Astyanax mexicanus: one gene and its partners. The protein of the gene in region 1 interacts with the protein of each later gene in a pairwise test. Links are inferred from orthologs where the notes say so. Each region holds a gene or a part of one and is shown in the gene's direction. Other genes may lie near its edges.

What was found.
Region 2: the proteins of csde1 (region 1) and hid1a interact in binary tests that used the Homo sapiens proteins (3 or more experiments, as listed by UniProt). The two-hybrid records come from large-scale screens. The link is inferred for Astyanax mexicanus from reciprocal best matches to the Homo sapiens genes CSDE1 and HID1.
Region 3: the proteins of csde1 (region 1) and c25h11orf68 interact in a two-hybrid assay, tested with the Homo sapiens proteins (2 studies listed by BioGRID and IntAct). The link is inferred for Astyanax mexicanus from reciprocal best matches to the Homo sapiens genes CSDE1 and C11orf68.

What each region holds. Positions count from the first base shown.
Region 1 is NC_064419.1:39,190,481-39,198,020, reverse strand, and holds the start of csde1 (cold shock domain-containing protein E1), read left to right. Parts: upstream 1-4,432; 5' UTR 4,433-4,512; intron 4,513-7,540. Other genes in the region: porcnl (porcupine O-acyltransferase like), read left to right, coding at 518-603, 786-893, 1,979-2,077. UniProt on the Homo sapiens protein: RNA-binding protein involved in translationally coupled mRNA turnover.
Region 2 is NC_064426.1:43,208,245-43,215,760, reverse strand, and holds the start of hid1a (protein HID1), read left to right. Parts: upstream 1-4,474; 5' UTR 4,475-4,563; coding exon 4,564-4,629; intron 4,630-7,516. UniProt on the Homo sapiens protein: May play an important role in the development of cancers in a broad range of tissues.
Region 3 is NC_064432.1:18,621,128-18,629,112, forward strand, and holds the start of c25h11orf68 (UPF0696 protein C11orf68 homolog), read left to right. Parts: upstream 1-4,904; 5' UTR 4,905-4,991; intron 4,992-6,355; exon of another isoform or gene 6,356-6,537; intron 6,538-6,552; exon of another isoform or gene 6,553-7,433; intron 7,434-7,894; 5' UTR 7,895-7,972; coding exon 7,973-7,985. Other genes in the region: drap1 (dr1-associated corepressor), read right to left, coding at 574-664, 1,654-1,776, 1,862-1,955, 2,511-2,583, 4,723-4,764.

The sequences.
Region 1 (7,540 bases):
CTTCACAGTAAACAGCTACATTAATACAATATAATATATAATAAAATAATTTAAACAAATAAAATATATCACACCCCTAATTCACATTATGACAAAAAGTGAAAAAACACTATTATAGGATATTTAATTATTATAACTTTTAATGGTTACCTAACATCTCTCATTTTTTATATTTTCAGTCCAAAAATTTGAAACAAAAAATTTAAAACAAATCGAATTTATTAACCAACAAGACCAATTCAAACAATTTTGACTAAATCCAACACATTTAAAAAGAATAGTAACTGTGAGGGAGAACATACAGCCCATCACTCTTTCACTGTGTTTCATATAAGCAGATGAATGTCACAATAATTATGATATTTACCTTAAAATCTTAAAATATATGGACATGACCTCAGTCACTATTCTGACCTCATTATTGTAGGAAGATTTCATCGTTTCAGTGTTAAAATTTCAGTAAACTGTACACAGTAGTGATCATTTACTGACCTGAATATTTTTATGTCTTCCCCAGTTCTAAGAAAAAGACTGGCAGCCATCTTCAGTGCCTGTATTCTGTCCAAACGCTGCTCCAGTGACTGTCATCATGAGAACAAAAAGGTAGGCAGGTGTTTCACCAGCCTGACTGAAAATCTATTTTTATTGTGGTTTGAAAAGTTAAAATGAATCACTTTTTGCTTTTTTTGTTTTTAATTAATAGAAAATGATTAGAAATTTAGCCCATATTTTACAGTAGCTCTGTGTATGTGTCTGACTGTATTATGATTTTAATTTGTCTGCAGGTTGTGTGGGTGTATGCCACAAACCTGTTCTTCAGTGCATTGTCCATTTTTCACCTGACATATCTGGGCTCTCTCTTTGACATGGATGCCGAGGATGAGAAGGTTCAGGTTATTGTTTTTTTGTATTATTGTTAATCACTGTAATGAGAAGGCGTTACACAATACAATCCAGTGTTGCTTATTTAAATGGGACAATTTATGACCTCTAAGTAGGGATGTTTCAAACCGGTTATTTTGCCCCATGATCTGATCTGAGTTTTTACATGCTTAGTATTGGCAGATATCTCACTGTTCTGTGTTTGTGTGTATATGACAGCTCCCTGCTCCATTAAAACACTACAGTTTTTGGTATTTTAATATATAAATTTATTTTTATAGTTTCAGATGTTATGTGTTCGTGCTCTACTGTATTATAGTTCCACACTGTGCTCTCTAACTAAACTCTTACTTACCTCCTGAAAACTTTCCACAGTGCTGCAGGTTGGCAGTCACGCCAGGTAATGGTGCCTTGAGGACACCAGATGGCACATTGATGGCGCTGTCATTAAGACAAAGACTCGGATAGATAAACAGCTCTAGAAAAAAAATAAGAGACCACTTAAAAATGATGAGTTTCTTTGATTTTACCAAATTGAAAACCTCTGAGAAAAGCCACCAAATTGAAAGCCATCAAACCAAGCTGAACTGCTTGAATTTTTGCACAATTCTTGCAGTTTTCCAAAAGTATGTAAGACTGGTGGAGGAGAACATGCCAAGATGCATAAAAACTGTGAATAAAAAACTCTAGAACTTTATGAATATGAACTTGTTTCTTTGCATTATGTGAGGTCTGAAAGCTTTGCATCTTTTTTGTTATTTCAGTCATTTCTCATTTTCTGCAAATAAATGTTCTAAATTACAATAGTTTTGTTTGAATTTTGGAATAAATGTTGTCTGTTGTTTATAGAATAAAACAACAATATTCATTTTACACAAACATATACCTATACGTAGCAAAAATCTGAGAATCTGATTCAGAAACTGAAGTGCTCTCATTTTTTTCATAGCTGTAGATTAAAATAACATACACCTAATCAATTAAAAACATGCCTGCATCAGACCTGATCCCAATTCACTGGATCAGATCAAAATATTCATAGATATCATATTGTGTAAGTAATTTATCTTTTGTGTATCTACTCTTTGTCTTCCAGGGTTACATGGCAAGTCACACCATTCAAAAATGGTCAGAACTGAACTGGGCCAGCCACTGGGTGATGTTGGGATGTTGGGTCTTCTATTGGCTCATTTGAAGCTGGATGTGAAACTATGGATCAAGCTGAGGACCTTTTACACTCCTTGGATTGAGATCTTATCGGACTCAAAGCAAAAGCATATCTTCAGCATATCTACAGACTGTTTATACAGTGATCAAGCATTGCAGTTCCATCATTCCTGCTTTCACACCTTATACTGACACTGTTCTACAGATCTGTAATCGTAACTACATTCCTCCATGTACTGTATGTGTTAGACCTGAGAAAATCTAGGTGAACATGTTGTTCTAGTTTTTGTTACTTTTTTATACATTACCAAAATAACAATAAAGATATTTATTGTTTTCTAAGAAAATGTGATACAGTTTGTCTGTTCATCTCTTGTGTATTAGTGGCATCTCTCTTTCCATTATATATATAATAAATAAATAATCATTTATTCAAAAGCCATGATAAAAAATAGACATCCCCAGACCAACACATTATTGTTATTAAATAAATAACAATACACAAATGTGTATTCATTATTTTATACATATAGCATGCATATAATCAAAGTGTACATTAACTGTACACTACATTTTCAAGTCAAGTCAAGTAGTTTTATTGTCAATACTGCATATGTACAGGACATACAGAGAATTGAAATGACGTTACTCTCCTTCCCAATTTTACAGCAAGTACAGATAATAGATATAATAAAGGAGGATGGGAGACACTATGTGTACAATACAGCAGGGACACAAATAGACATACATGAGACAAAAACAAGGTGCAGTGGTGTGGGGGAGGAATAGATATATAAATATAAGTAAATAAGTAAAAATAGATATATAATTATAATATAAAAGAGTGGGAGACACTATATGTTCAATACAGCAAGACACAATAAACATACGTAAGACAATAGTGCAATATTGATGGTGATTGAGATGGAATGACAGTATAAATAGTAAATAACAGTGGTGCAAATAGGGTATATGGTATATAGCTTAAATTGTGATGCATTTTGGGTGTTTGATAGTGAACTATATAGGGAATAAAACATACTGTTGATATTTTAACCAACACTACACAATGGCTGATATATTGCACTATTTCTGTAATAAGGACCAATTTAGAATGCAGATTTGTCACTGCGGTTTTTGTTTGGAGATTTTATTCTAATAAAAGAAATAAACAGTCTTTTAATATTGGATAGACAGACAGCCCATGTCTCTTCTCTCATCTCAATCATGTTAGACAGGTACAAAAAGAAGAGAAAAAAGAGGAGATTTATGAGGGATAGAAATAGAAAAAAAGATGTCCCAGCCCAATTGGGACCTCAAGATGGTTTGTTATGCGCCTGAAATAAAGAGATGTTGAAGTTTAAGAATATACCAGTTCTGCTCTGCTAAATTTCAAATTCAAAATTTGAATAGCGAAAAGTGATGCATGAGATTCATTTAGATCGATTCATTTATCACAGTGCATTTTAGAAGAGTTTTAAGAATATATAAATTATGAATTAATTTATTTACTGCTCTGCTGAAGTTCATTTTCAAAAATTTAATAGCAAAAAGTGATGCATAAGATTAATTTAGATATATTAATTAATCACAGTGCATTTAAGACGAATTTTAAGAATATGCCAGTTATGGGGCTCCGAGTGGTCCAGCGGGCTAAGTGCTGCCACTATGATCAGGAGATTGCTGGTTTGAATCCTGCTCATGTAGCTTGCCATCAGCTTCCAGAGCCCCGAGAGAGCACAATTGGCCTTGCTCTCTCTGGGTAGGTAGATGGCGCTCTCTCCCCTCATCACTCCAAAGGGTGATGTCGATCAGCACAAGGCGTCTGTGAGCTGATGTATTACAACTGAGTGGCTGTGCTTTCGTCTGAGTGCGCTGTGATGCTACTCAGCAATGCTGCATGAAAAAGACGCAGTGGCTGACTGCACAAGTGTCTTCACCCTCCTGGTGTTGGGGCATCACTAGTGATAGGGGGAGTCCTAATGAGTGGGTCCTAATTTCCGTAAAGAAAATGGTAAAAAAAAAAAAAAAAAAAAAAAATTGAAATGAAATAAACAAAATATGTCAGTTATGAATTTGTTGATTTATTGCTCTGCTAATTACCTTTCATAGCAAAAAGTGATACGTGCGATTAATTTAAATTAGATTAATTAATCGCAGAGCATGTGCTTAATTAGCTAATCTTTTCTTTAATCGTTTGATTAAAAGCACTAGTAACAAGTCTATTCATTTATTTATATATTTTTAAACGATGTGAGTGTAAGTATTTGAGTGTGAGTGTAAATTTAAAAGAAAGTATAAAAATAAAATGTAAAAAATAAAACCACGTTTTTTTTTCAATCAAATCTCGTTCTCTCCTCTCCTGCGCGCTTGTGAAATATCGCGATATCTCCCCTTCTTCTCACTACGTAATGTGCCGTGCTGCTTATGGCGGCGCTGGTGACAGTGCTGAAAGCTGTTGGGGTGAGTTTTTCCTCTTTTGTTTGGGTGATACGCAGTTTTAAGACCGCAGGGTGAAGGTAGAGGTGTGTGTGCGCTTTGTGTTTTAGGCTGGGCGGCTGTAGTGTCGTGTTTACGGTGTAAATGTTGTTATTTCCAGGGACGGGAAGGCCTGGGTGGGGGCCGCAGACCTCACCGCTCGTTTCGGCGCTGCTAGGCTGTTAGCTAGCGGGCTAAATAGCTAAATATACCGGTTAATAAATCACAGCGGAGGCGGAGTCTGCTTTAATTAGATCAACGTTTGCCTTATACTTAAAGAACTGGCAGAGAACTGTGTTTTAGACTGGCTTTTTTGTTCTAAAAGAAGTCGCATTATTGTCCTGGAAGTAGAGGTGTGAGGTGCAGACCCAGTAGATAAAAATCCACTCCAGGATTTTGTTCCCACAGTTCTGCTGCAGATCACACAGTAGGGCCGTATAGGCAGTTGAAGCAAAATCCTGGAGTGGATTTTTACTTTCTTAACCTGGATTACCCACTTCTACCTCTAACTTCACCGTTTTGTGTTTCAACGTGGCTCTGTGCTGGTTAGCTAAGTGGCTGGCTAGCTAACACACGTTAGCACCACTAGTTTCAAAGCCTTTTCTTTGTTGTCCGACATTTTTAAGCTATATTTTAACCCTCGGCGACACACATACAGATATACAAACACACTCACATGTACATATACACACACATACATATATAAACGCACAAACACGCAGACATGCAACGAACAGCCAACATAGATCCCTAAAAACAGGCGTGTTTATTTTTATATGGCAGCTAAACAAGTTTTAGCCTCAAATGTTTTTGGCCACAGCAGTGGAAAATCAGCTTTTACTAGTAAAATGTCTAAATATAGATCAAATAGATAATAGCTAAAGATAAAGCTATAGATAGATAGCTTATAGATTCTATAAGCTACTGACAACATTTCTCCCAATTAAGAAAAAAAGAATGTAATTTAGAGTATTTATTTGTGGAATAAAAAAAGAAAAAGATGCAGAGCATTCAGACCTCAAATAATGCAAAGAAAACAAGTTCATATTCATAAAGTTAAGATTTCAGAAATCAATATTTGGTGGATTATCCCTTGTTTTTAATCACAGTTTTCATGCATCTTGGTATGTTCTTACACACTGCTTTTGGGTAACTTTATGCCACTCCTGGTGCAAAAATTCAAGCAGTTCAGCTTGGTACAGATTGTTTTTAATTTGGTAAAATCAAAGACTCGTAATTTTAAGTGGCCTTTTTTCCGGAGTCGACTAAGTGTGTTTTGTAACAGTACCACATTACACATAGTGGACAATGGGCTAACTCACACTATTTACACTCAATTTGGTCTGTCTCTAAATGTTACATAATTACTAACTAAAAATCAGTACCTTTTACGTTTAAACAACATCTGAACATTTAAATGGCTTTTAAATCTCATGTTCAGCTGTTTTTGTTTTCAGCAATGGAGGAAATTAAATGTCCTTTGACAAATTGCTTGACTACCAAAATAATAATTAATTCCAGCCTATATATATCTATAATGAACCTACAGTTTTTACCATTGAAAACTTCAGTAACAAATGTCTTCAATTGGAAAATGAAATTCCAGAAATCTGGAATCTGAAATTTCACTGAATAACATCAGCAAAGCCCCACTTTTAAGGTATAGCTATTGTGAGCTGTGCATTAGAAGTACTATAAAAGAATTTAAAACAATAAAACTAAAAGAGAAGTAAAATGAGTAAATGATGTGCCAAGACAAATCTGAGCGAGGATTTCAGTGACTCTGGAACAACATTAATAAATACGAGCTGACTGCAACAAACTAAAATGCTCTTTTTGCTAAATCGTAATTTCACCTGGATGTTACAGATATTTTAATAAGATATGCATATATTTTATGCACTGCACAAGTGTTCTAGGCAACTGAAACTAGGCTTTAAATCCCAAATGTTTCATATCATAAGAGCTGCTTAAATTTGAAACTTGTGCTTAGCACTGCAGATTTTACTGTTTTTAGAAATATCTGGATGTGTGGATGGGCCTGAACAAATATCCTGTCCTTGTATCATTTGTAAAAACTGCACTACTTTTACAGATCTGATTCAGAACACTGGAGTAACAAAAAAATTGGACTCCTAAGTCAGAACTTGGGAATGATTAACATTAAACTCCGGACATGAACATTAGTTGTTAGGACATTTGGCAGGCTGATGTTGGTTTAATTCGTAACTAATAACTGTAATTAACTACAAAAGAATTGGCCTTTAGCTTCTTAGCCAGACACGCATTGTTTTGTCTATTTGTGCTGTTTTGAAAAGGAAGTCAAGGCCTAAAGTCAGTGAAACTGGAAATTTATAGAAGGATTTATTAATAGCAGCACAATTTCAGTTATTCACTAGTGAAGACCCGAGTGCTGTTCAGGGAAGGGCAGTGCAGGAACGCGCTGCAGCTGTAGTCAGAGGAGCGCGTGCTTGTTTTTCCTCGAGCCTTGACTGTTTGTGGCCCGGGCGCACTGTAACTGCACAGCGCGTGCTTTTCAGCTGTGTGTGACGCAGCCAATAACAGGGGCTTCGGAGTAGTCGGTCACAGCTGAAGAGCATGCGCTGTGCAGTTAATGTGTTGAAACGTGAGTAGCTTGATCACCACAGTGAAATTTTGGGTTTCTTAAATTCTGTCAACTGATCTCTTTACTCCAGGTAATAACTCGCAATGTTGATTTTTAAATAGTTTGCCTTTGGGTGAGTAGGCACACTGTTGGAATAAGGTTGTGGATAACACCATCCCCATTACAAACAGACAAGTTCTCAATTCCCTGATCAGGCAGCATAGCAGGGTTCACCAAAAATGCCATCTGTACACACTAACCTTTTCTGCCTCAAAGCCAGCCTGTTTAAACATAGAAAGCCCACAAGTAAAGTTTTTTTATGTATTTTAAATGTTTGTGAAATGTTACTACTTGTAAGTTTGCACTAAAGACTAAATTTACTTAAACACTTGCCTCTTAATACCATTT
Region 2 (7,516 bases), on another chromosome or scaffold:
CACGCACCCGTAAAAACGCGTCATCAAGAGAGGGGCGGAGCTACAGCAGCCAGGGGGCGGTCCACAACAGGGGCACTGCTAGACAGTTATCTATCTATCTATCTATCTATCTATCTATCTATCTATCTATCTATCTATCTATCTATCTATCTATCATTATTAAATTAGTATTAAAGCTCAAGGCTGGTTAAATGAAAAAGTTCATACAGTTCTGACTTATTAAGGCGTGGGAATGAGATCTTTATGCATGGGAACAAGAACATTAAGGTGTATGAACAAGATAATTAAAGTGTGGGAACAAGATAATTAGGTTGTAGCCAGAAAATTATAAAGCTTGCTTTTCTGTAAATTAATGACCATAAAGAAACAGAAAAACATCTAATTTAAGAATAATCTTTTGTAAAAAATCTATCTATCTTATTTTGATACTGTACCTCTAAACTAATTTCTGGAAAGATTGTGTAGATTTATTATTGATAATGTTGACGCTGAGTTTGGTCTCTGTTTAGTTAATGTGTTGTTTGGCTTTGATTATCATAAAAGTCATACATTTACAATTGTTAATTTTCTCATTCAAAACCTGAAATTATTGTTTTTGAAAAATAAAAACTATAAAACCAAACAATACATAAGTTAGTCACCTAATATTCTCTCTTAAAACTAAAAAGCTGTTAAAACAGTGGATATTTATACTTTTATTTTTTTCTCCCTTTTTTATTTTTCTTCTATACCAATATTTGGCCTCCAGTTATTATTATCTTTCTAACAAATTGTGTTAAATTGTGCTTTAGGATTTTAGCTACGTTTGTAAATACGAGGTTTTAAACTAAAGTGGCCGTAGCTCTTGGTAACAGCGTGGAGCTCGAGGAACCCGGAAGTTTGCAGTTAAGGCTCTTATCAAATTTATGGCGAGACTTCCTACTTTTATCTCCTCCATTATAATAAAATAATACAGCTGACCGCTAGAGGGAGCGCGCGAGCGGGTCCAAAATGAATGGGGGTGAATGAAGCTAAACGGCTAAAAACACAAATTAAATAAAGTATACAGCTGATAGTCCAGGTTATTCCTTTAATTTCGGAAATTATAATAAGATATGTCGCTAATAAAAGCAAAGAATCCTTAGCTGTGCGTTTCTGTTTTTCACAGTAAAAGGGTTTAATTAGTATAAACATTAGCGTTGCTGCTACTGTGCGCTGATTGGTTGGTGGGCTGATGCTGATGCAGTAATAACATTATAATAATTTAAATGTCCCTTTTTACACTGCAATACTAACAGTAATTCTGCGTAAAAAAAAAACACAGATAAATCAAATGTATCTGACATTTTAGATCATTGACATTGGAGTTTCAGTGCATTAGAGATCTAAAAATGAAGTAAGTAAGTAACCTCTTTAGTTGCCTAAAGAACAATCAATATTACTGTACCATTTTTTATTATGACCCACTAGACTTTTCATATTATGGAAGCCCATTTCCGCCACCTGAAGAAAAAAAAACGTCCTCAACTAAGTCATAATTATGAGATAGAAAAGTCATAATTATGGGATAGTAAGTCATAATTATGAGATAGTAAGTCATAATTATGAGATAGTAAGTCATAATTATGAGATACTAAGTCATAATTATGAGATAGTAAGTCATAATTATGAGATAAAAAAGTCATAATTATGAGATAGTAAGTCATAATTATGAGATAGAAAAGTCATAATTATGGGATAGTAAGTCATAATTATGAGATAGAAAAGTCATAATTATGGGATAGTAAGTCATAATTATGAGATAGTAAGTCATAATTATGAGATAGTAAGTCATAATTATGAGATAAAAAAGTCATAATTATGAGATAGTAAGTAATATTTATGAGATAAAAAGTCATCTCATAATTATGACTTAGTATCTCATAATTATGACTTACTATCTCATAATTAAGACTTAGTATCTCATAATTATGACTTAGTTGAGGACGTTTTTTTTTTCTTCAGGTGGCGGAAATGGGCTTCCATATTTCAACTAAACTAGTTGAAAGAGAATAAATTGCCTGTTCTGTGCATTTCTGATCAGTAGGGAGATCATTCCACAGTCTGGGAGCATAAACTGCAAAAAAATAACTTTCATTGATTAAATGTTCTTGCAGCAAGAGCACATTTTTAAAGGTTTATAACTGGATTTTTAAAGTGTTAAAATCATGTATGTAGCATTAAAACGTACTCTGTGTTGAAGAAATAAGAATACTTTAAGTATAAAAATGAATGAATATTTAATTTTTAACTCTGAACCTCTCTCAGGTGGTCTAAATAAAAAAAAAACCTAAATAAAAATTAATGTTAAATAAAAATTCTCGATATCTGTTTATACGCTCTGTGGCTTTATCACCGCCTCCGCAGATGACACACAGCGCAGCCGCAGAGCTGGTTTATACAGAGACTGACCACTTCCTATAGCCACCGTTTTTTACCACCGAGCTACGGCAAAAAATTTGAAAAAAAAAAAAAAATTTAAATAGTACATTTTAGAAAGTATAATTATGTATTTAGCCATAAAAGCAAGGAAACGTAGCTGTTTATTTTAGTTTTTACAGTAAATGGGACTTACATGGTAAAGGCCCTGCATTACTGTTACTATGAGCTGATTGGTTGGTGAGCTAATGCTGATGCAGTGCTGATAGCATGGCACATTTAATAAACATAGATTTTTTTTATCATTACATCATTTAATGTTGACAATGAAAAAACAACAACCTTGAAACAACAAAAAAGACTTTGACTAAAAATCAATGTCAAGCTATAAGAATATGAAGTGAAATTGAAGTTGACCGTTGATTGGATGTCTGTTTGCTATCACTATCCTGGAAAATTGTAAATGCAATCTACAAGATGCATTGCTTTTCCACACTAACATTCAAAATACGCCAAATGAAATGCAAAATCACTTTTACACTATTATATTTCACTATTTATTAAAAAACAATACACACAAATTTACAAATTGTGTCAGAATTGCACATAAACTACCTTAAAATGCTTTAAATCAGCTTAGAACTGAACTGTATGCACTCATTCACTTTACCAGCCTTAAGCTATTTTACCTTTATGTTTACACTACTGTTATATGGTTTCTGTTTATACTTGTACTGTCATTCCCTCTCCCGTCCCCCCACCCCATCACTATTGCACTATTGTCTTGTGTCTTTTTTCCATGTATGTCTATACCTGTGTCATTGTTGTATCGTTTATTTTGTGTCTCTCGTTCTTTTATATTTATGACCTTATTTTCTGTACTTATCTGTGCTGTAGCTTTTGGGAAGGAGAGTAACATAATTTCAATGTTGTGTATGTCCTGTATATATGGAGTATTGACAATAAAACTACTTGACTTTTTTCTTGTAATATTAAGACTTTAATCTCGTATTAGTACAATTTTATACTTTTAATATTAGAACTTTAATCTTCCAGCCCAGCAGCCCAGCAGCGTCTCTACTTCCTCCGGAAGCTGAGAAAGGCCCGTCTCCCTCCACCCATCCTCACACTCTTCTATAGAGGGACCATTGAGAGCATCCTGAGCAGCTGCATCACTGCCTGGTTTGGGACCTGCACCGTCTCTGACCGCAAGACCCTCCAGCGTATTGTGAGGACAGCTGAGAGGATCATCGGCGTCTCTCTCCCCTCAATCACGGACATTTACACCACCCGCAGCATCCGCAAAGCAACCAGCATTGTGAATGACCCCACCCATCCCTCACACGAACTGTTCTCCCTCCTGCCTTCGGGAAGAAGGTACCGCAGCATCCGGTCCAGCACGACCAGATTCTGCAACAGCTTCTACCCCCAAGCCATCAGACTCCTTAACTGCAGAGACTGAACTGATGTTTTTTCTGTACATGCACACACACTCTTACCCCACTTACCCCAGAAAATGGAAAGCACTAAAAACCCTACTACCTCACTGGACTCTATTGCACACTGCATAATTTGCACACTGTCTTGTTATTTATTATTCTTTGTCTGTATGGTGTTGTATTGTCTGTCTGCACTTTTGTACTGTTGCACTATTGTTCTGTCTACACTGTGTTTATGTGCACCATGGTCCCTGGAGGAACGTTGTTTCGTTTCACTGTGTACTCTGTATATAGCTGAAATGACAATAAAAACCACTTTGACTTTGACTTTGACTTTGAATCTTGTAATATTGCAACTTTATTTTTGATTAACTGTTATTTTAATTTTTTTAAGAGTGTCCCTAAAATGCCGTCGTATGATTTTGTTCTGTGTTAGAAGTAATATAATAAGAATATTTTTAGTCTAAAAATTAATAAACATTAATAAACTGCTTAAATTATTTTTCTCAATCGCTCCATTTGAACCCATTCATTTTGTCCTCACTCTGGAGCGCCCTCTAGTGGTCGCTCCCGCTCACAGCACACAGTGAAGTGGGTGATCTCGGTGTCTGTGGGTGGAGGATCTGTGGCGCAGCAGCAGCAGCGGCGGCAGTAACAGTAACAGCGCGGGGAGGAGGAGGAGGATTAGTGAAGGATCTCCTCATAATAAAACACACGGGCTGAAAACATGGGAAACACCGACTCCAAACTCAAATTCAGGAAAGCGGTCATTCAGCTCACCACTAAAACCCAGGTCAGCGCTTTATTCCCTCATTTATACTGGATTTACTGGTTTTACTGGGCGAGCAGCGCCTGAACGCTTCCAGATGGAGGCAGATCGCTATCCGCAACATCAAGGATGAGGGTCTGAGACACTAAACCTCAGTTAAAAACACAGATACCTGCTGATAAAAGCGAGATCTGCTGTTTATCTCACTGTTTAACGCGAAATATCTGTTTTTCCTGCTTTTATTATGATATATTTATTTATCAGGCCAATAAAAACAGCCCTGCACCTGCTGCACCTGAACAGGAGGGTAGATATAAATAAATATGGATATAACGTTAGAGAGCTGATTCTGGGTCTATCTGTGTTTTATTTTGTTTATTTGTGGTTTTTAAAAAACAAATTAGGGAAAAAAGCCGAATATCAGATTTCTAACCTTATTCTCTTAAATAAACAGAGACCTGAGCTCCGCCGCCGCTGTGTTTCAACATATTGTGAATGATTTTCATGATTTTCAGCATAAAAGCGCAGATTAAATGGTGATTTATAGAGAGATGTTTCTGTAATCAGTGCGAATTATGATATTAAAGAGGTTAATCAGTGGATTTAAAGCTGGAAATGTTTTATTAGACCGGGATCCAGTGAAACGCAGACAGGATCTGTTTGTAGTTTGTAGAGATGACGCGAGATTTCAGCTTCACACGAGAACAGCGTTTCAGCTTCTTCTGGTTGCTACATATACACTATATATATATATATATATATATATATATATATATATATATATATATATATATATATATACACACTATATACACACACACTATATATACAAACAATATATACACTATATACATACACTGTATACACTAATGTATATATATATATATATATATATATATATATATATATATATATATATATATATATATATATATATATATAATATATATACACTATACACTACACACACTATATACATACACGAATATATATATATATATATATACATATATACAACATATATATATATACACTACATATATACACAGTATATACATACACACTATAAATTCACTATATGCACACTACACTACACACACTATACGCTACACACACAATATACATACACACTATATATACACACTATATGCTACACACACACTATATTTACACACTAAATATATATATATATATACACACACACACACACAAACACTACACTACACACAGTTACAGATATCTATAATTAATTTTGTAATAGTAATCATTATTCATTCCTTTCCTATTGGAGGACAAGCGACAAATTGCCTTGTGATTTTTTTTTTACTTTATGCAAATTAATTATTACGTGGGGAAACGACATTCTACACTGATTGGCTGGACGGATTTTTTGGGCCAATAGCATATACAGCGGCAAAATCCCAGTCATGCAGCTTAGTATGGAGTGAATTTTGTGCCAAAAGTTTTACACAAAAAAATAAAATCCGCAATCAAAATGTTAGGAATCAAAAGCAAAAATTATATGTTACAAATTCAAAAGAGAAAAAATATATAGCAAATATATATTTTTAAATATACTTGGTTATTTTATTATCCTTTGCAGTTATTTGAAAATTATTTCAGTTTGGTCTTTGCTTTTATTTTTGTGTTTTTGTGAATTTTCTGTGGATTTTTTTGGATTTTTCTGTTAAAGACTTTTGCTTCTGGAATCCCTCTTTTGCTTCTGCTTCAGATTTTTGCTTCTGAGTTTTGGCACAGTTTTCACGGGTGGGCGGGGCTTAGAAGAAGGGGTTCCCCTTGAATCTCCATTGGTCAGCTGGTTCTGGACTGGCGGGTTCCCTGAACCCTCGTCTGAGACTGACCACGCCCCCAAACACCCCGCCAGCTTCAAGCGTCCTTCCAAACACGGAGTGAACAGCAGCTTCCAGCAAACAGCAACAGCAGCAGATACTTTTACAATTAAATATTATACAAACGTTATGTTCACAAGTCACATTAGCGAGATTGCTAAATATTCATGCTGAAAGTAGGTAACTACCTAACTCACTAGCTCAATGACTAGGTAACTCACTAGCTCACTGACTAGGTAACTCACTAGTTCACTGACTAGCTAACTCACTAGTTCTCTGACTAGCTAACTCACTAGTTCTCTGACTATGTAACTCACTAGTTCACTGACTAGCTAACTCACTAGTTCTCTGACTATGTAACTCACTAGTTCACTGACTAGGTAGCATTCTAATTCATTAGCTCATTGAGTAGGTAAGTAGCTAACTCAGTAGCACACTTACTATGTAACTCACTGGTTCACTGACTAGGTAACTCACTTGCTCACTGAGTAAGTAACCTGCTAACTCATTAGCTCACTGAGTAGGTAACTCACTAGTTCACTGACTAAGTAATTCACTAGCTCACTGAGTAGGTAACTAACTCACTAGTTCACTGGCTAGATAACTCACTAGTTTGCTGGCTAGGTTGCTCACTAGCTCACTGAGTAGGTAACTAGCTAACTCACTAGCTCATTGACTAAGATAACTGACTAGTTCACTGATTAGGTAATTAGCTAACTCACTAGCTCATTGACTAGGTAACTATCATAATTTGCGCGTGAATATTTAGCACATCTTGCTAATGTGAGCTTTTAAATGGAGTGAAACAGAGAATAATATAACATAATATAACATTAAACATAACGTTTGTATAATATTTAATTGTAAAAGTATCTGTTGCTGTTTGCTGGAAGCTGCTGTTCACTCCGTGTTTGGAAGGACGCTTGAAGCTGGCGGGTGTTTGGGGGCGTGGTCAGTCTCAGACGAGGGTTCAGGGAACCCGCCAGTCCAGAACCAGCTGACCAATGGAGATTCAAGGGGAACCCCTTCTTCTAAGCCCCGCCCACCCGTGAAAACTGTGC
Region 3 (7,985 bases), on another chromosome or scaffold:
TCCACCTCCTGTTGCCGCAGAGGCGATATTTTTGCATGTATGAATATTCATGAGCAAGAGCCAAAACCGTTTCTCCGCGCCCACTCCTCCACTGGATTAAAGCAGCACTATACTTTACCTTTTTCACAAAAAAGAGTTCACATGGCATTCATTCATACTAAAGAACACAACTAGACATTTTAAAATGAACGAAAAAAACAATGGAATGAAACCTTTAAGCAAACAAAAACTACAAAAGAGAACTAAATAACTGAAATAATTATGTGCCTGTTTTACAGCCTGAATTCTGTAAAACATTATCATTGCAATATTTGACATAATTTTACATTGCGTAAGCATAAACACATGAAAATGTTCCCCTTCTAAATGTAGCCCAGGGCCATAACTAGACCCTAAATCAACAGCTTGCAGCACAAGCAAAGGGGACAACATGTAATAACAGATTATATAATATAATATATATACATTTATTTTAAAAATATATAAATGCAAAAATCTTCTGATCTGTACTTCAGTACAGAGAGATGCTGAAGTAAATCGACAGGTAAACACGCAGCACTGATGAACCCTTACCTCTTGTTCAGACTCTGTGCCTGACAGCTTCTTGTCTTTACCCTTGGCTCCTGCTCCTCCGTTCTTGCGCCCTGAGCCAGGCTTGCGACCTCTGCAAAACACAGTTATTTCTAGGGGTGGGGGAAATTTTTGATTCTTTAGACGCATCTCGATTCGAACAGTGACGTTCTGAATCAGTTCACAAGTGACAAAAAATAATTTTATAGACGTCAGCTAAAACTGAACGTAATTATGACGAGATGCAAAAGATTAAACTCAGAAGTTAAGCGTCCGGACAGTATTACAGCTGTAACTCGTGATGTGTGAACTTCCATTGCCACAGAATCTTACGTCACTACAACAGCGCGTTTTATCCGCTATTAGCGGCAGTTACAGTTGCATTTGCTTCAAAAACGAGCAGTGACCAAAACCACACGGGTAAAAGCTGTGATTTTGGTACAGCATATTTTGGGTACTTCAGTTACATGTATTGCTCAGTGTTCATAATGTTATTTAGAATTTAGCTTCACTGAAATTTATTAATTTATTACAAGCATACTGCTACAGGTGCATCCTGTGTGATGCTGAGATATGTGCTCTCAAATGCTGGCCCTGCACTTGCCATATTGCTTCCATTTAAAATATAAAAAAAAAACAATGCAGACCATTGCAAAGACTTTTTTTTATTTATTTGGTGCCATATATAGACTATGAAAAAGTGAATGGAAAAAGCACTGTCAGCTATGGCATCTCAAAGAGGTAATAAAAATTGTTGTACGTCATGAAGATGTAAAACTTGAGATTATATTATCCATTGGTTACATATCAAATTAGAGGATTTTAAGCCAAAATATGCAATAATTAAGCCGATCCTAAAAAGTTACAAAAAATAAAGAACAAAAAAATATATGCAAAAAATATATATCTCCTCTACAGAAAAAAAAGAAAGAAAAACATTTTTTCCCCCCTCTTCTATTTTGTGTAATTGTGCCTACATTTTTTATTTAAGTTCCAAATATAAACATAATGTGCTCCTCACAGTTTGGATCTATAGTGAAAATAGCCTACTTCAGACTACAGTTCTAAACTGTGTGTCATTACCTGCGTGGGATCTTCTCTGCTCCCTCAGCATGATTCTCATCCCCCTCTCCTTGCATGTCCGGCACTGCAGCCACCAGATCCTTCAGGAAGTCAAACTGCTGCTCCAGTTCGATGCACTGTTTTCTACACGCAAAAAACAAACCCACTTAAAAGCCAGTCAGCATGTTAACACTACTCACAGTTTGATCAGTAAGTTAAAATTACTCACAAATGCGATGTTGTCATAGTTTTGGCGTTCCGTGACTGGGTAACATGACAGGCTTTCGTCAGAAGAGACTCCAGAAACAGCTCAAGTGCCCGCGCTCGAACAGGGGTTAAAGAACCAACCAAACCAAGAACATCAACTACAGAGTAGAGAGGGTTATTAATCAACGCCAAAATAACAAAATATCTTGAAAGTGATTATTCACTTAAAAAAACCCTATTAAATCAACTAATCTCAGGTTATGCGATGCAGTGGAATGCATGGATCATGTGATCCAAGTGTTACCTCAAGGGACAGCTTGGGAACACCCACATATTGTAAGGTGTTATCTAGTGAGTGAGTGTGTGGGCATTTAAAATTCCTTAATCCACAGAGTCAAGTATTAACCAGGAATACAACATAGAAGGCATTACCACCTACAGTGGATAGTTCAGTGTATGGTTATGATTATGGCTGACAGCATCTGATTAGAAATGTGCATGTCCATCTTTGCACTGGACATCTAACTCTACAGAAATATTTAGGGCAGTAAAAGAATTAGCAATATTTAAAGGGCAATTTGCATAAGAACCTCAAACACTCTCATACTGACACATTTCTAAAACACTGCTGTACAACAGAAGACAGAAATATGTGAACTTTCAAAGGATACAGATAATAACGGGAACGGCAGCAGCGACTTTTCCTATTTCTTCATCTGTCTGCATAATCTTCTTAATTCTTGCCTGAAAGTAATACAAACACACATAGTGAGCGTGAAAAAGCTAGACAGATATTTTGGGAACAAAAAATGTAATTTACATAACAGTAGTTACTGAATAGCCACATACAGTACAGCTGGGTTCAGTGTATACTGTACAGAATACACTACAGGACACAAAAACATACTTAACACTGAAAGCTAAAATGTAACAGTGAATATTAAATACTAGTTATGCATTTCTGTCATTTTTTTTAGTGTGGAAACATTTACAGTGTGGAAATACTTCAAATTGGTGCTTTACATTCTATCAGACTTAGATATTTTCCTGTGCTTGAAACACAAAACCTTTACCAGCCACATCTTGTTGTATTTTAAATAAAATAAAGAACACAAACGTGCTCCTTTATTATACTACTTTATTGTAGTACTTATACTTATACTACTAATCTACCACCTGAGTCTCTGAGAGACATGCAACTATTGTACTTAAATGCATACTGTCCAAAAAAGATTTTCTACTAGATTAAGAGCATTCATAAAAGAATGTGATTACATCAATAAATTAGAGATGTACAATCTTATCTACACAGGGCTGCTGTGGTTGCAGATTTCCTTTTTTATGGAAAAAAAACAGCAGCAGCACACTTGGTTCCTCTTGTTTAATCAGTTGGTCAGTCTTCAAACAACTAATCACATGTGCTTCTGCTTCACTGGAATAAAAAACTGAAGGTACACCACTCTTTGTGGAGAAGAATGAGGCCTCTGTAGTAAATGGAGCAGAAAAATGCCACAAATACAAATGGTATGTAAATATTGTTGATATCTAAAGTTGGTTAGCAGCATAAGAGCAGCTGAGTAGCCTGCTGATATGTACAGAGCCAGAGAGCTGTTAATATTATGTTAAATGTATTCATTTTAAAATCACTTTAAATTTTATACCAAAAATCTTTTCTGATTTTTTGTTAAATAATTTTTATTTTATGTAAAATATCTCTGTTGAATTTTCACTAAATATTTGTTCGCTTTATGCCAAATATCTTTATTAATTTTATGGTAAACATCTGATAATTTTATAACAAATATTTGTTATATCTTTATGTTATATATATTGGTGTCACTTATCTATATTTTACATCAAATATCTCTCACCTAAACATCAAATATCTGCTCATTTTATTTTAAATTTCTCTATTAATTTTTCATTAAACATTTTTGGTTGTGTCAAATATCTCTGTTCATTTTACCATAAACATCTGTTGAGTTTGTGGAATAACTCTGTTAATTTTACTATAAACATCTGTTGATGTTATGTCAAATATCATTTGTTACATAAAACGTTACCTTAAACGCCTGTTGGTTTTATGCGAAATATCTCTGTTAACTTTACCATAAACATCTGTTGATTTTATGTCAAAAAACAATTGCTGGTTTTAAGTCAAATGTCTGTCAATTTTATGCCAAATATCTGTTAGTGTCAGTTAAATGTATCTGTGTTTATAGGTAAGTAAAACATCTGTGTTCTGTCTGTACAGTAGCTGGTTAGCTGAGTTTTCACTTTCCAACACAAACTGAGGGAACTAAGTTATGTTAGCTAGCTTATGTTAGCTACTTAGCAAAAACCTTTACTAGCGTTAGCTAGCTGGCTGGCTACACACAAAGATTATCCAGGATCATGGCTACATTAGTATTGACCAATTTGAACCACAGATTTTAGAATACTGCATAAAATAAAGTGTAAATTGTTTAATTATAAAGCTACACGGCCTCTGAATAATGCTGAGGACTGCAGCTGTTAGCTAGGCTAAGCTAGGCTAAGCTAAGCTAAGCTAACCGAACTCTCAGTTCTCCAGCGAGCAGCTGTACAGTAGGATTAGCCGGACCCGCTGAACCGCTCTACATTGAGTCTATGGGCTTCTCCAGCTCTCGGTATTACACTGGGTATTGTTTTAAACTCAGAATTAAACTTAGACTCGAGTCTAGACCAGGTAACAGAGTTAAACCCAGCCACAGGTTTTACTCCTCTCATTCAGAGTGGGCGTTAAGATAACAGGAGCTCCGCTAAGTTAGGCTAGGCTAAACTGTGCTAAGCTAACGTTAGCATGTACATAGAGAATCATTGAGCTTAGCATTAGCATTATCAGGTGAATGGGAGTAATCTCACCGGGGGGAATCTGGCGTTATATTTCTTCTTTTTGCTCGGCATGCTGTGTTTTACAGGACTCCTCCCGCTTTAGCCCGTGTGCTCTGTGTCTGTACTCCTTTGTCCCGCTGCCGGATCGGCTCCAGGCCGGGTTTAGGCTCGGTTTTAATGATAAACTCAGTGTTTTTGGTTCAGCAGCAGCGGCGGCTCCGTCTCCACCTCCTCCTCCTTCAGTCCAGCCGGGTCTCGCAGGGTCGCAGCTTGATCTCCGGCTGCGCTCCAATTTACAAGTGTGTTCAAATCAAGCCCATAACAAACTCAGCATGCTATAAAACAAAATAAAATAAAAATAATAGTGAAATTTCGCCTTAACTTTAAACTTAAACCTGTTTTTATTCGGTGTTTAAATATGGAAATACATTCCTGTCAGGTAAATGCCCTTTCTGGCCTTCTCAGTTTCTGGCAGCAGGATGCAAATCTTGATTCAGTAGGCCCTATCTCAATCTTAATCTCTAAAAAAACAGTTTGTCTTTATATTTCCACATCATATATTTCAAATTTATCATTATTATTTAAGTTAAAGGACTGCCGTTATGCCAAATATTAGCAAGTATTTTTAAATAATGACCCGGGAACAGGTTATTATTGAACTACTGAAATAGAATTACAAATAGCAATAGCATAGCAAAAAAAAGAAAGAAAAAATGATTTTTTCAAAGGATTGTCATTTTTTTGTGAAATCTAATTTCCTCCACTTAAAAAAAAACTTATTATTAAGTAAATTGCAATCTTATGATTATGAGGTACTAAGTCGTTATTGTGAGATCCTAAATCAACAAAAGCATTCATATAAACGACTTAGTATCTCAAAATAATGATGTATCTCAAAATAACAACTTAATATATAATATAATAAAATAATGACATAATATCTTAAAACAACAAGATCGTACATGAACATGACTTAGTATTTCAATGGTTTCTGCACATGTAGGTAAAGTTAAAAGGTGAATTGGGTAGTTTCTGGACCCACCACAACCCTGACCATCAGGGAAAAGAAGACGAATGAGTAAATAGATTTTATACTAATACTATACTAATTATTATTATTATTATTATTATTATTATTATTATTATTATTATTATTATTATTATTATTATTATTATTATTACCTAATAGTATTATATCCAACCTCCTCTTCACATTTGAAATTTGAAACTCTTCTTAGTTTCAAATTACCTTCAGAACGCATGTGACTGTTTTAACTCTTTATAATTTCTATGTTTTTATTAATTCATTTGTTATTGGTCTTAATTTAATTTTATTATTTTCTATATCATTATTATTTACTTTTTATCTATTTGTTAATTTTTTTTAAATCTCTTACATTGAGAAGATTTCCTCTTGATTTACTGCGAACATTTGGATATTTTCTTTACAGCTTTAATCTTGTAATGTTAAGGCTTTAGCCTCGTAATATTGCGACTTTATTCTCGAACGAACTGTTTTTTTAAAGAGTGGCCCTAAAACGCCGTCGTTTAGATATTTTCCAGTTGTTAAGCGACCTGTGGGGGAAGTAGGGAAACGAGCACACTAGCTAGGTTAGCTAAAGAGTGTTCGAAGTAGACGTGGCCTTTCTAGTGTGCGAGGGGAGACAGCACGGGCGCACAAATTGGGACAGAGCCAGACAATTCAAAAACAACGCATTAGCTCGGCTAGCTGTGGGTTTAGCGGCTGTTTTAGTGGTTTTAAAGGCGTGTTTGATGCCGCAGGTGAGCGTGTGCGGGCTGTATTGCAGTGTGAGCGCTGTATAATGCGCAATAGTGAGGAATTCTGTGAGTTTTCTGCTTTATTTCTCCTCTCTGGTGGTCGGGGCTAGTTGCAGCTGCTGCTGTGCTGTGTTTGGGGTAAAGTTTGCTGATTAAAGTCAGTGAGGAGGCTAAAGAGTGAGCTGTGTGTGGGGAGAGTCTTCTGTAGAGCTGTGGGGTGAAGGAATGAGTTTGTAACCTGTCTGTGCAGTGTTCATTAAGCTGTGTGTGGGTCTGCAGATCTGCAAATATAACTGCTGGTGTTGGGTCCAATGTTGCTACCCTGTCAAAACGTGCTCCCAGTGTATAATGTGTATTCATAGGTAAATCTGATTGACTAGTAGTTTATTCAGATTGGTTGAAAACATGATTTAATGTAAGTGAAGTTTGGTAGGTTAGGTAGAAGATATGTGGATATAGGCTAACTAGCCTGTATAGTACACAGTATAGCAATTATAAGGGTATATACGGTGTATTTATGTATTTGAATAGCCATTAAAACTCGTGTGAGACTCAAACAACCAATAACAGTAAGTCTAGACTGTAAAACACACTGTATGAGCAGATTTATCTCGAAAAACACATGAAAACGTAAAAAAGGCACAAAAAATTTTCAGCGCATGCGCAGTAGTGATTGTCACATGTCACATGTGGCATTTTTCTGAGTCGGTTCTTTTGGCTCGGCTCACTAAAAAAGGGCCGGCTCTTTCAACTCCCAACTGGCTCCGCAGATTTATTATTTGCTTAAATTAATCTATTACCGATTTATGTGTAAAATAAATCACTTTGACAGTACCTATCAAAAGTTTGGACACACCGCTTCTCATTCTATGTGTTTTCTTTCTTTTTATAATTTATTTTTACGTAGTAAATTTAATATCAAATACATTAAAGCTATACAGGAACAAATGCAGGATTATTTGGTAAGCAAACCAAAATATGTTTTACACTTTAGATTATGAAGTGGAAGTGGCACATTTACCTTTGATTACATATTTGAACACTGGTATTTTCTCTGTGTTTTCATGAGAGAGTCACCTGGTTCACATAGAATATTTTCATTAAAAAGATACTTTATTTCAGCAATTCAGTTCAAAATGTGAAACTCATATTATATAGACTTATTACACACCGAGTGATCTATTTTAAGCGTTTTAAAATTTACTGATGGTCAGTGATGGGTTGGAGAGTCATGTCTGCTGGTGTTGGTCTACTCTGTTATATCAATTCCAAAGTCAGTGCAGCGTTTTTTTTTTTTCCGGAAAATTTTAAAGCACTTCATCCTTCCCTCTGCTGACAACTTTTATAGAGAAGCTAGAACTGTGAAACTGCCTTATAATCATACAGGTTAACTCATAACTTTTTTTTTTGGTCTCTCTAACAGAAAAAGAGTGCCTTACACTAGCATATAGGACGTACGCTACCCGTGTACCAACACTCAACCCCGAGGTCCAGAAGAAGGATGGAGGAAGAGG